2 linked regions of the Caenorhabditis elegans genome follow. The protein of the gene in region 1 purifies or fractionates together with the protein of each later gene. This does not show direct contact. Each region holds a gene or a part of one and is shown on either strand. Other genes may lie near its edges.

The links.
Region 2: the proteins of T21E12.5 (region 1) and Y23H5B.8 fractionate together in Caenorhabditis elegans (co-fractionation; one large-scale study listed by BioGRID). This does not show direct contact.

The regions. Positions count from the first base shown.
Region 1 is NC_003279.8:4,411,566-4,415,055, forward strand, and holds T21E12.5 (Guided entry of tail-anchored proteins factor 1), read right to left. Parts: upstream 1,678-3,490; 5' UTR 1,657-1,677; coding exon 1,609-1,656; intron 1,563-1,608; coding exon 1,497-1,562; intron 1,440-1,496; coding exon 1,349-1,439; intron 1,141-1,348; coding exon 1,032-1,140; intron 977-1,031; coding exon 730-976; 3' UTR 660-729; downstream 1-659. Other genes in the region: tiam-1 (DH domain-containing protein), read left to right, coding at 237-304, 2,731-2,803.
Region 2 is NC_003279.8:2,545,884-2,550,490, forward strand, and holds Y23H5B.8 (T20D4.11-like domain-containing protein), read right to left. Parts: upstream 2,517-4,607; 5' UTR 2,445-2,516; coding exon 2,238-2,444; intron 1,450-2,237; coding exon 1,321-1,449; intron 1,272-1,320; coding exon 1,083-1,271; 3' UTR 503-1,082; downstream 1-502. Other genes in the region: Y23H5B.3 (T20D4.11-like domain-containing protein), read left to right, coding at 58-270.

The sequences.
Region 1 (3,490 bases):
ATTTTCGTTATGGAAAAATTGAAATTCCTGATCCACATTTTTGTAGATATACCTGTTCTCGCCTATTTTCAAAATTTTTTGAATATTTTCTGTTCTCTCTGCAACATATAAAACTTTTTCCAACTTCGCTGTTAACAGAATAACATAGTTTTTTTGCCAGAATTATTCAATCCTAATTTTTTTTTTCCAGGAATTCCATTCTGTTGTCAGTGAGAGAGAACCGCGTTCAAATCAGAATGGGCTCACGCCTCTCATGTTCTTGCTCACAAGCCGAATGCTGGACGAATGATGAATCTACATTGAGGTTTGTTTTTTCTTTGAGAAATATCTATCACTACTTGTCATTCACACAGTTGGTTCGTGTTTATTATTCTAACACTCTGAAAAAAGATAGATATTATAGTTATGGTTAGAATAAACAAAAAGAGTGTGCGAAGGGGAATTGGTATTTGACAAATTGTAGATTGGATGAGGGGGACAAAAAATAGACAAGATTCTGACCGAGATGTCATTAATTTTCGTCAACTAGACACTTTGTTTCGGAAAAAAAGACAGTGGAGAAGAATAAAACCAACTTTTACATTGAAACATTCAAAATTTTAGTTTCTGCTATAAATAATAGAAAAAAGGTTTTTCAGTTAAATTATTCAAATTTAAACTTTATCAACGCAAATCTTTATTACAAAAAACTTAAATAATCTATAAAAACTGAAAAGCGACATTAATTATTCAATAAGAATTTTTATGAGGATTCATTCCATGAACCAAATGATGTACCATTTCTTCTGCATCCATTTCATCTTTAACCGTATTGATTTTCTCGTTTTGCTGATTTCGAATAATAAAATCAGAGGCGTACGCGTCGAAATATGATTTTTGTCGAATAAGTGAAAGAGTTGACTCCATTTTCGAACGATGTCTCACTGATTCGAGAATTCGAATTTTCTCATTGAGCAGCATGATCTTTGTCATTTCTCTGGAAAAATTTTGGAATTGCTGAAAAACTGTAGAAATTCAAATAAAAAACTAACGTGATAAGAGTGTAAACTGAAAATGACCACAATAAAAGGATGAAGCATTTTATATGCATCAGAGCTTCTTCGTCTTCAACTTGTTGCATTTCTTCCAATGTGTGGATTGCTGGAAATTATTGATTTTAGAGGTGTAGTAGAAAATGGGTTCTCAAAAATTTCAAGAATTTTTGAAAAAATTATTGTTCGCCAGAGATATGACTCTAAAAACTATATCTTAATTAAATGTTTTTATTTTACTCACTTTGAGAATATGTAGGCGGTAGGTAGGCAGGAAAGTATTGCCTCGTATCATTTTTTTGATTATAAAAACCTACGAGTTGTCTTAGCAATTGTGATTGCTTCAAGCCACAGCAAAACGCAACATGCACTGACACAAATCATAAGGAACACCACTTTTATTATTACCTGAAAATTTAAGATTCATTCGTATATATATGCTTATTTACTTTGTTCAAAACTTACTTTAAAAATAGAACAGACTGTAGAGCGAACAATCGAATTATTCCATTGAAATCCTAGTCCATCAATCTGAAAAAAAAATTGATTAATATATTTTGATAAAAAGAAAGATTACCAGGTCAACTTTTTTAATATTCAAAGGAACATCACCTGGCTGGGCCATTTTTGAAAGTTTAGACGAAAAAGTGAACAAATAGTTTTCAGAATTTTAGTTTACGCGATGGCGAATTGTTGGTATTTTAAGGTTCACGTATTGAAAATGTGCAATACTTTAAAATTTTGTTAAATATTGTACCTTACGATAGAAATGTTAAAGCTGAAAACTACATTCAAAGAGTATCAAATTTAAAAAAATTTTTAAAGTTGTTTGTGTTTTGCTCATCTTGCTAATTTTGCTCAAAATTTTCTTTGAAGGACTTTCAGTGAACATTTATTTACTGGAACACTTCGGTATGCTGTATAACCATATAAGTTTCCAATTAAATCTAAACCCGGGGCGGGCAAACAATTTTTCCGGTAAATAGGCATATTGCCGGAATTGAAATTTCCGGCAAATCGGCTAACCGATCCTATGAACCTATGAATGTTTGTACATCTATTTTGAAAAGTAAGCAAATTCTATCAAAATATCTAGAAAAAACGAGATAATATTTCGAAAAAAAGGCACATTTTTAATTGTTTCCGTCTTATAAAAAATCCCCCAACTTCCGGCAAAATGTTGTTTGGCAAACGGCAAATTGGCAATTTCCCGAAAATCAAAATTTCTGGAAAATCGGCGAACGGTAATTTGCCGATTTGCCGAACTTGTAGACAAAAAAATTTCCTGAACGACAATTGCCGCCCACCCCTGATCCAAACTACTCAAATGAAGGAGGTCCCATCTCAGTTTGGTGAATTATAGTTGATATGAGACACAGGCATATAATTGCCAAACGATGCAAATCTGCCAATGAATGTTTCCGGCCAATTGATTTCTTAAATCAAAAGGAACAAAAGTGTGAAGAGAACTAATTAAAAAAGTGTTCATTTCTTAATTATGGATTTTATTACTCTATTCGATTCCATCAAGGACACGAACACTTTTCTTCAAATAAGACACTTTTGTCATTCAAGTGATCTCATCCTTTTGTTTGAATATGCCTTGTGATTGTGTAAGAGACCTTATTGAAAACAAATAAGTATCACTTGACATTTATTACAACTTAGAAGATTGACTCTCACATCCAATTATTTTCAGAATTGACGCGGAGTTGTTTGAGTTATCACAGGACGGACAAAAGTGGGATAAGCTTGACGGAAGGCTGGCCAACGTGAGTATTTATTGTCATTTTATGGCTTCTTTTTCGCGCACAATGTACCCTGTAGCATCTTAAATTTCGAAAATTTTTGGAAAGGCTCCCGGTTCTTTTTTTTTTAATGCAGACAAGGGGTGTGCGCCAAATTCGGCAAATCGACTTTTTTTTACTATTCGGCAAATTTTCCATACATCCCTGGTGCAGACATTAACATTTTTTAAACGAAATATTGACTTTGGAGGTAGGCCAAAAAATATGCGTTTTTAATCAATTTTTCAAATCAAAATATTACGAAAATGTAATAACAAAACTTGCTGCTGTCTCGAAAGTAGTTTTGTAAACCTTTACTGAATTTTTGGAATGAGTGGCAAAGTGTTTTGCGAGGCTCGTGTTCAAAATTGTATTCCAGTTTTTTTAAAAGCTAGTCCAAACACTTGACTAAGTTGTAAAATGTGGAAGTGGCTGGTTGGTTTTGTAGTTTTTGAGATTTGGAAAAAATTCAAACGAAGAGATATGTCAAAATCGAGAAATTGCTTTTTCAAAAGTTGGATTTATCGTTCTTCCTTGATTTTTTTTTCTCTGTGATAATTCTGAATTTAATATTACTTTTAAATATCATCCCCATTCACGCTGCTCCACCTTTAATTAGTTATCTGAAAAACTAGGAGCAGTTAAGAAAATGTTTTAATGGAAAAATTCCCA
Region 2 (4,607 bases), 1.9 Mb from region 1:
AAGTTTGAATTTTGCGTGCTGTGGAGCGCATTTGCATTACAAATATATGATTTTTAGGCACAACTTCCAACATGCGAGTATTTCGAGGCTGACAATGAATGCAAGACAATGCCAATAGAAAATATATGCGGCCCCCGTGCCGTCAAAGAAATGCTGGATAATGAGAATTTTATTCGTGAATATTTTGGATGCAACAGGATCTACAAGCCTTCAAATAATTCTAGTAATAGCTTGAAAATCAAAATTTCAGGTAATCCTAATTCGAAATGAAGATGTTTGAAGAATGAAGGCAATTTTGAAACTTTTATATAATGCAATTTTGTGCTATCAACTAACTAAATGTTGACCAGATGACAACTTTTTCCTACTTCTCAACATTTTAGAGATAATCTCTGCAAGCATCTCAACAAGTCGGCCGCAGAAAAAAATGACCAATTTTTCATATATCGTTAAAAACAAGCTATCAGCTCACAAACTATCTCAAAATGGATGTATCGCAAATTTTGAATGCACTTTTTATTTAAAACATAAAGATGCACTATTAGCTAGCCCCTACAGTGGGGCTGAGCTCCTTTTGGGGCTGTGGCTGGTCTCCAGCCCCACTTTTTGACGCCGTCTGCGCACTTTCCGATAAATAGAAAAGAAATTAATCGGCGCAGAATGTGCGCAGACGCCTACCTAGTGGCACACAGGGTTTCGTTCGTTTTTCGCATATTGAATTTGTGGAATAAATATATAAATATAATAAATAAATAAATAATAAATAAATAATAAATAACTATAATAAATAACAGAGACAGTTTTATGATAGTTTGTTAGAATTTTAAAAATAAAATAAATCGTTATGGCCAATGTTTTCTTAATGTCCTGGTCATTTATAATTTCAACCAAGATCCCGGAAATCCAAACAAAGGAAATCGATACATCGAAAAATACAGAGAGTCCGCCCATATCCTGAGTTGGGCTTCGTTTCCCGGTTAAAGTTAAAATAAGGTTAAAAAAAACAATGAACACAATATAGGTGCTTTTCATTTGATAAAAAGGGGATCAACCCCCGCGAATCGGAATGTCGTTTGGATACATTATGGCTGATTTTCACAAGTCATCACTTTGACCTTATCCTCATTCTTCAACATATCCTCCCATGCTTCATCTCCGCATTGCTCTTGAACAACCCGTTGAAGCTCTGAAAACTCGTCAGGTGTCAACCAGCACTTTGGTTTATCCTCTCCAATCGTCGTGTTTTTCAGAGTAGTTACGTCGAATTTTGTCTGAAATAAAATGTTCTAGAGGATCTTTTTCGGAGAAGCTTGTAGGTACCTTTTCCATGCATTTACTGAATGGTCCGACTTTTAAGCCCAAGTCTTCACAGGCGGATCTCATGAACATTGTTCCGAATCTCAAAATACTTTTTAGTAGCTCTGGGATTTCCATTGATTCTACGCAGTTCTGAAAACTTTTAATTTTTTAAATATCAAAAAAAAACTAAAAGTGATGTACCAAATTTTGGGCGTGGCCTCTGATGCTCATAATTTTTTTGGGAGCCGTTAAACGGGCGTGGCCTTTCGTTCCGCCCACTTCTTGGTTGTGATCACAGAAGCTCTATCCAGTAGGCTTCCACGCAGGCGCAGAGAAGCCTACCTCGCCCGCCTTGTGGCGACCAAACCATTTTTCCGGAAATTGGTAAATTGGCAGATTGCCGAAAATTTTGGGCAAATTGTGCTTTTGCACAATTTTTTAAAGGAAATTTCAGAATTTCAATTTCAATCGGCAGATTTGTACGTACCTTATAAATTTTCCTACATATATTTTGAAAAGTGAGCAGATTCTATGAAAATATTTAAAGAAAACGGGAAAATTTTCAAAAAAGCACAGTTTTAAGTGTTTCCGTCTTATGAAAAAATCCCTTTAAAAACTTCCGGCAAATCGGCAAACCGGCAATTTGCCAATGTGCTAAATATTCCTTCTCGCCATTGTGTAGAAAAATGTTGAGAGGCCAGAGGCTGAGGCGGGCAGGATGAAGGCAGGCCCTGAAACCGCGCCTGCCTCCCATGGAATTTTTTTTGGCATTATTTGAAACGAATTTAATGTTCACAAACTACATTTGAGAAAAATTGGAAATCGGTGGCCGCAGAATTTCTAGGCCACCTACTACTTTTGCAGAAATTTTTTGTTGAAAATTCAATATTTTTCGAAACTCTATTTTTCAAATTTTTGCTGAAAAAAATAAAACTAACCGTTGTGTCAATGCACATATGATAAAATGTTTCCAAATTACCAATTTTCACATTTTTGCCGTGTTTCGTAGTTTCCAGCTTCAAATTATTCAAAATATTCTTCATTTTGTTGAGCTTCGTGAGACAATTTTCATAGTTTGTTTGTTGCCCGGAGACAATGGAAAAAACGAAGAAAGTCGAGAGAAGGAACAAGAGAATTTTGGCCATTTCGGTGTATAAATATTGAATAATAACAATTGAATAGCAGAAGAAGAAGAAATGACCTATCGAAAGATATATCCCTCGTCTCCGTGAAGATATATCTTCCCGGGAGATAGTCTCTGAAGTCGGGAAAACAAATATTTTGAGGTCAACGGATTCATATTTATTAGGTATAGAAATATCGATTTTTCCAATGGAGAGATGGGGAAAATCGACTTAAATTTTTTTTGTAGTTTTTTATCTGCCATCTATATTTTTTAAAGGGATATGCCAAATTTGTTCAAATTTTTTTCAGAAAAATTCAAAATTTCTGAGCAAAAGTTAGTGGGGAATTAAAATTTGAAACAACGGAATTTGGTGGAAAATTTAAATCTTCTGTGGCAAATATTGGCGGGAATTTCAAATTGTTTGAGTTAATGGGAGGGAATTCAAATTTTCTGAAACAAAAATTTTGGCGAGTAAATTCAATTTTTTTGAACAAAAATTGACGAAAAATTTTAATTTTCTCAGAAATTTTTTTGCGGGAGCTTGAAATCTTTAAAGAAAAACATTTGCGGGTAATTCAAATTTTTGATTTAAAAAAACTTGACGAGAAATTCAAATTTTCTGGGAAACTTTTTTTTTGGCGGAAAAATTGAATTTTCTGAGGAGAAATTAGTGTTGAATTAGAAAAAAAATTTTTAAACAAATTTCTGAAACAGAAATTGGCGGAAAACTTGGTCACACCACATTTTCTTAGGCCATCTGTGACGTCACTCCTCTTCCAGCCGAGATCAACAAGAGACCACTGTAAAAATTATCTAAAATTTTACTTAAAATTTATTTTTCAAAAATATTAAAAAGAAAAAAATTAAAATTAAAAAAATGTCAATGACCGTGCTGACCTTTCTTATCAAATAATCAAATCTCAACTCACGGGACCACAAATCTTGTTCGGCGAAAAATCAATTATTTCGAAATTTCGACTCTTCACAATGAGCTTGGATATGGAGCACCTCCATGGTGCCATGAATTACCGTGAGTTTAGGAAAAGTTGCCGATGGTTGCTGAGCGATCGCCGAGGATGTTGTCGGAGCATTGCCGCTTCTGTTGCCGGCGTGTCTACAAAAATCAATAAGTGTCATAATGGTTGCTGACAATCTTCAATAACTCCGATTTTATTGATTGCCGGTAGTCGCCGGCGGTTGCCGATAGTGGCCGGCAGCAGCCATTACTTGTAACAAATGGATTTTTTTTTCGATTAACGATAGTCACCGCTGACCGCCGGCAATGAAACTCTAATTTTATTGATTACTGATAGTCGCCGGCAATTAACAATAGTTGCCGCTAAGCGCCGATAAATCCAATTTTGCCGGTTCGTAATAGTTAAAGGCAATGGCGACAGTTGCCGGTAATTATCGATTGCCAAAAGTGCCGGAAATATCAATTTATCTCAATTTCCTTGTTTTTCAGTGTGTTTCGCTGCTGCTGCGTCAATTTCTGGAGCGATCATTGCCGTCGGCTGTACCACCGGACATCGTGAGAATTCGCGTGGTGGCAAAGGAAAATCGGCGAGATCAAAGCGATCGAAACGATCAAAACGAGACAAGAAGCAAAACTCGAAGAGACAACAAAACTCGAAACGACAAAAGAAGATTAAGGTGAGTGGAAGAGTTATTTCTCGGCCACTGTAACAACCATCTTTTCAGAGCAATTCTGCCGCTCCGGCACCACCGGCCAAGAGTGGAGTGCCTGCAAAATCGGCGGAGAAGGCAAAGGAAGGATCGCAGAGATCGGCTCGACTCAAGAAGGAGCAGAAGTCCGAGAAGAAGAAGGTTTGTGTAGATTTACGGAGTACAGTGTATATTTACGAAGCTCTTTTGTTTCAGAAGGAGTGATCGCAGAGATCTGCAAGATCGAAGAAGGAGGGATCACAAAGATCGAAGAAAGCGTCTAGCGAGAAGCCAGAAGTCGAGAAGAAGCCGGAAGAGCCGCCAGTCGAGGATGAAGCGAAGACTCCACCAGAGAAGCCGAAGGTTGAGGAACCGGCTCCGGCTCCAGCTCCGGCTCCGGCTCCAGCTGCTGTTGCTCCAGCTCCACCACCGCCAGAGCCAGCCGTCGTTCAACCGGAAAGCCAAGCAGGCGTCGAATCGATCTATTTGGATTCTGGAAAACCGTCGTACGATGCTC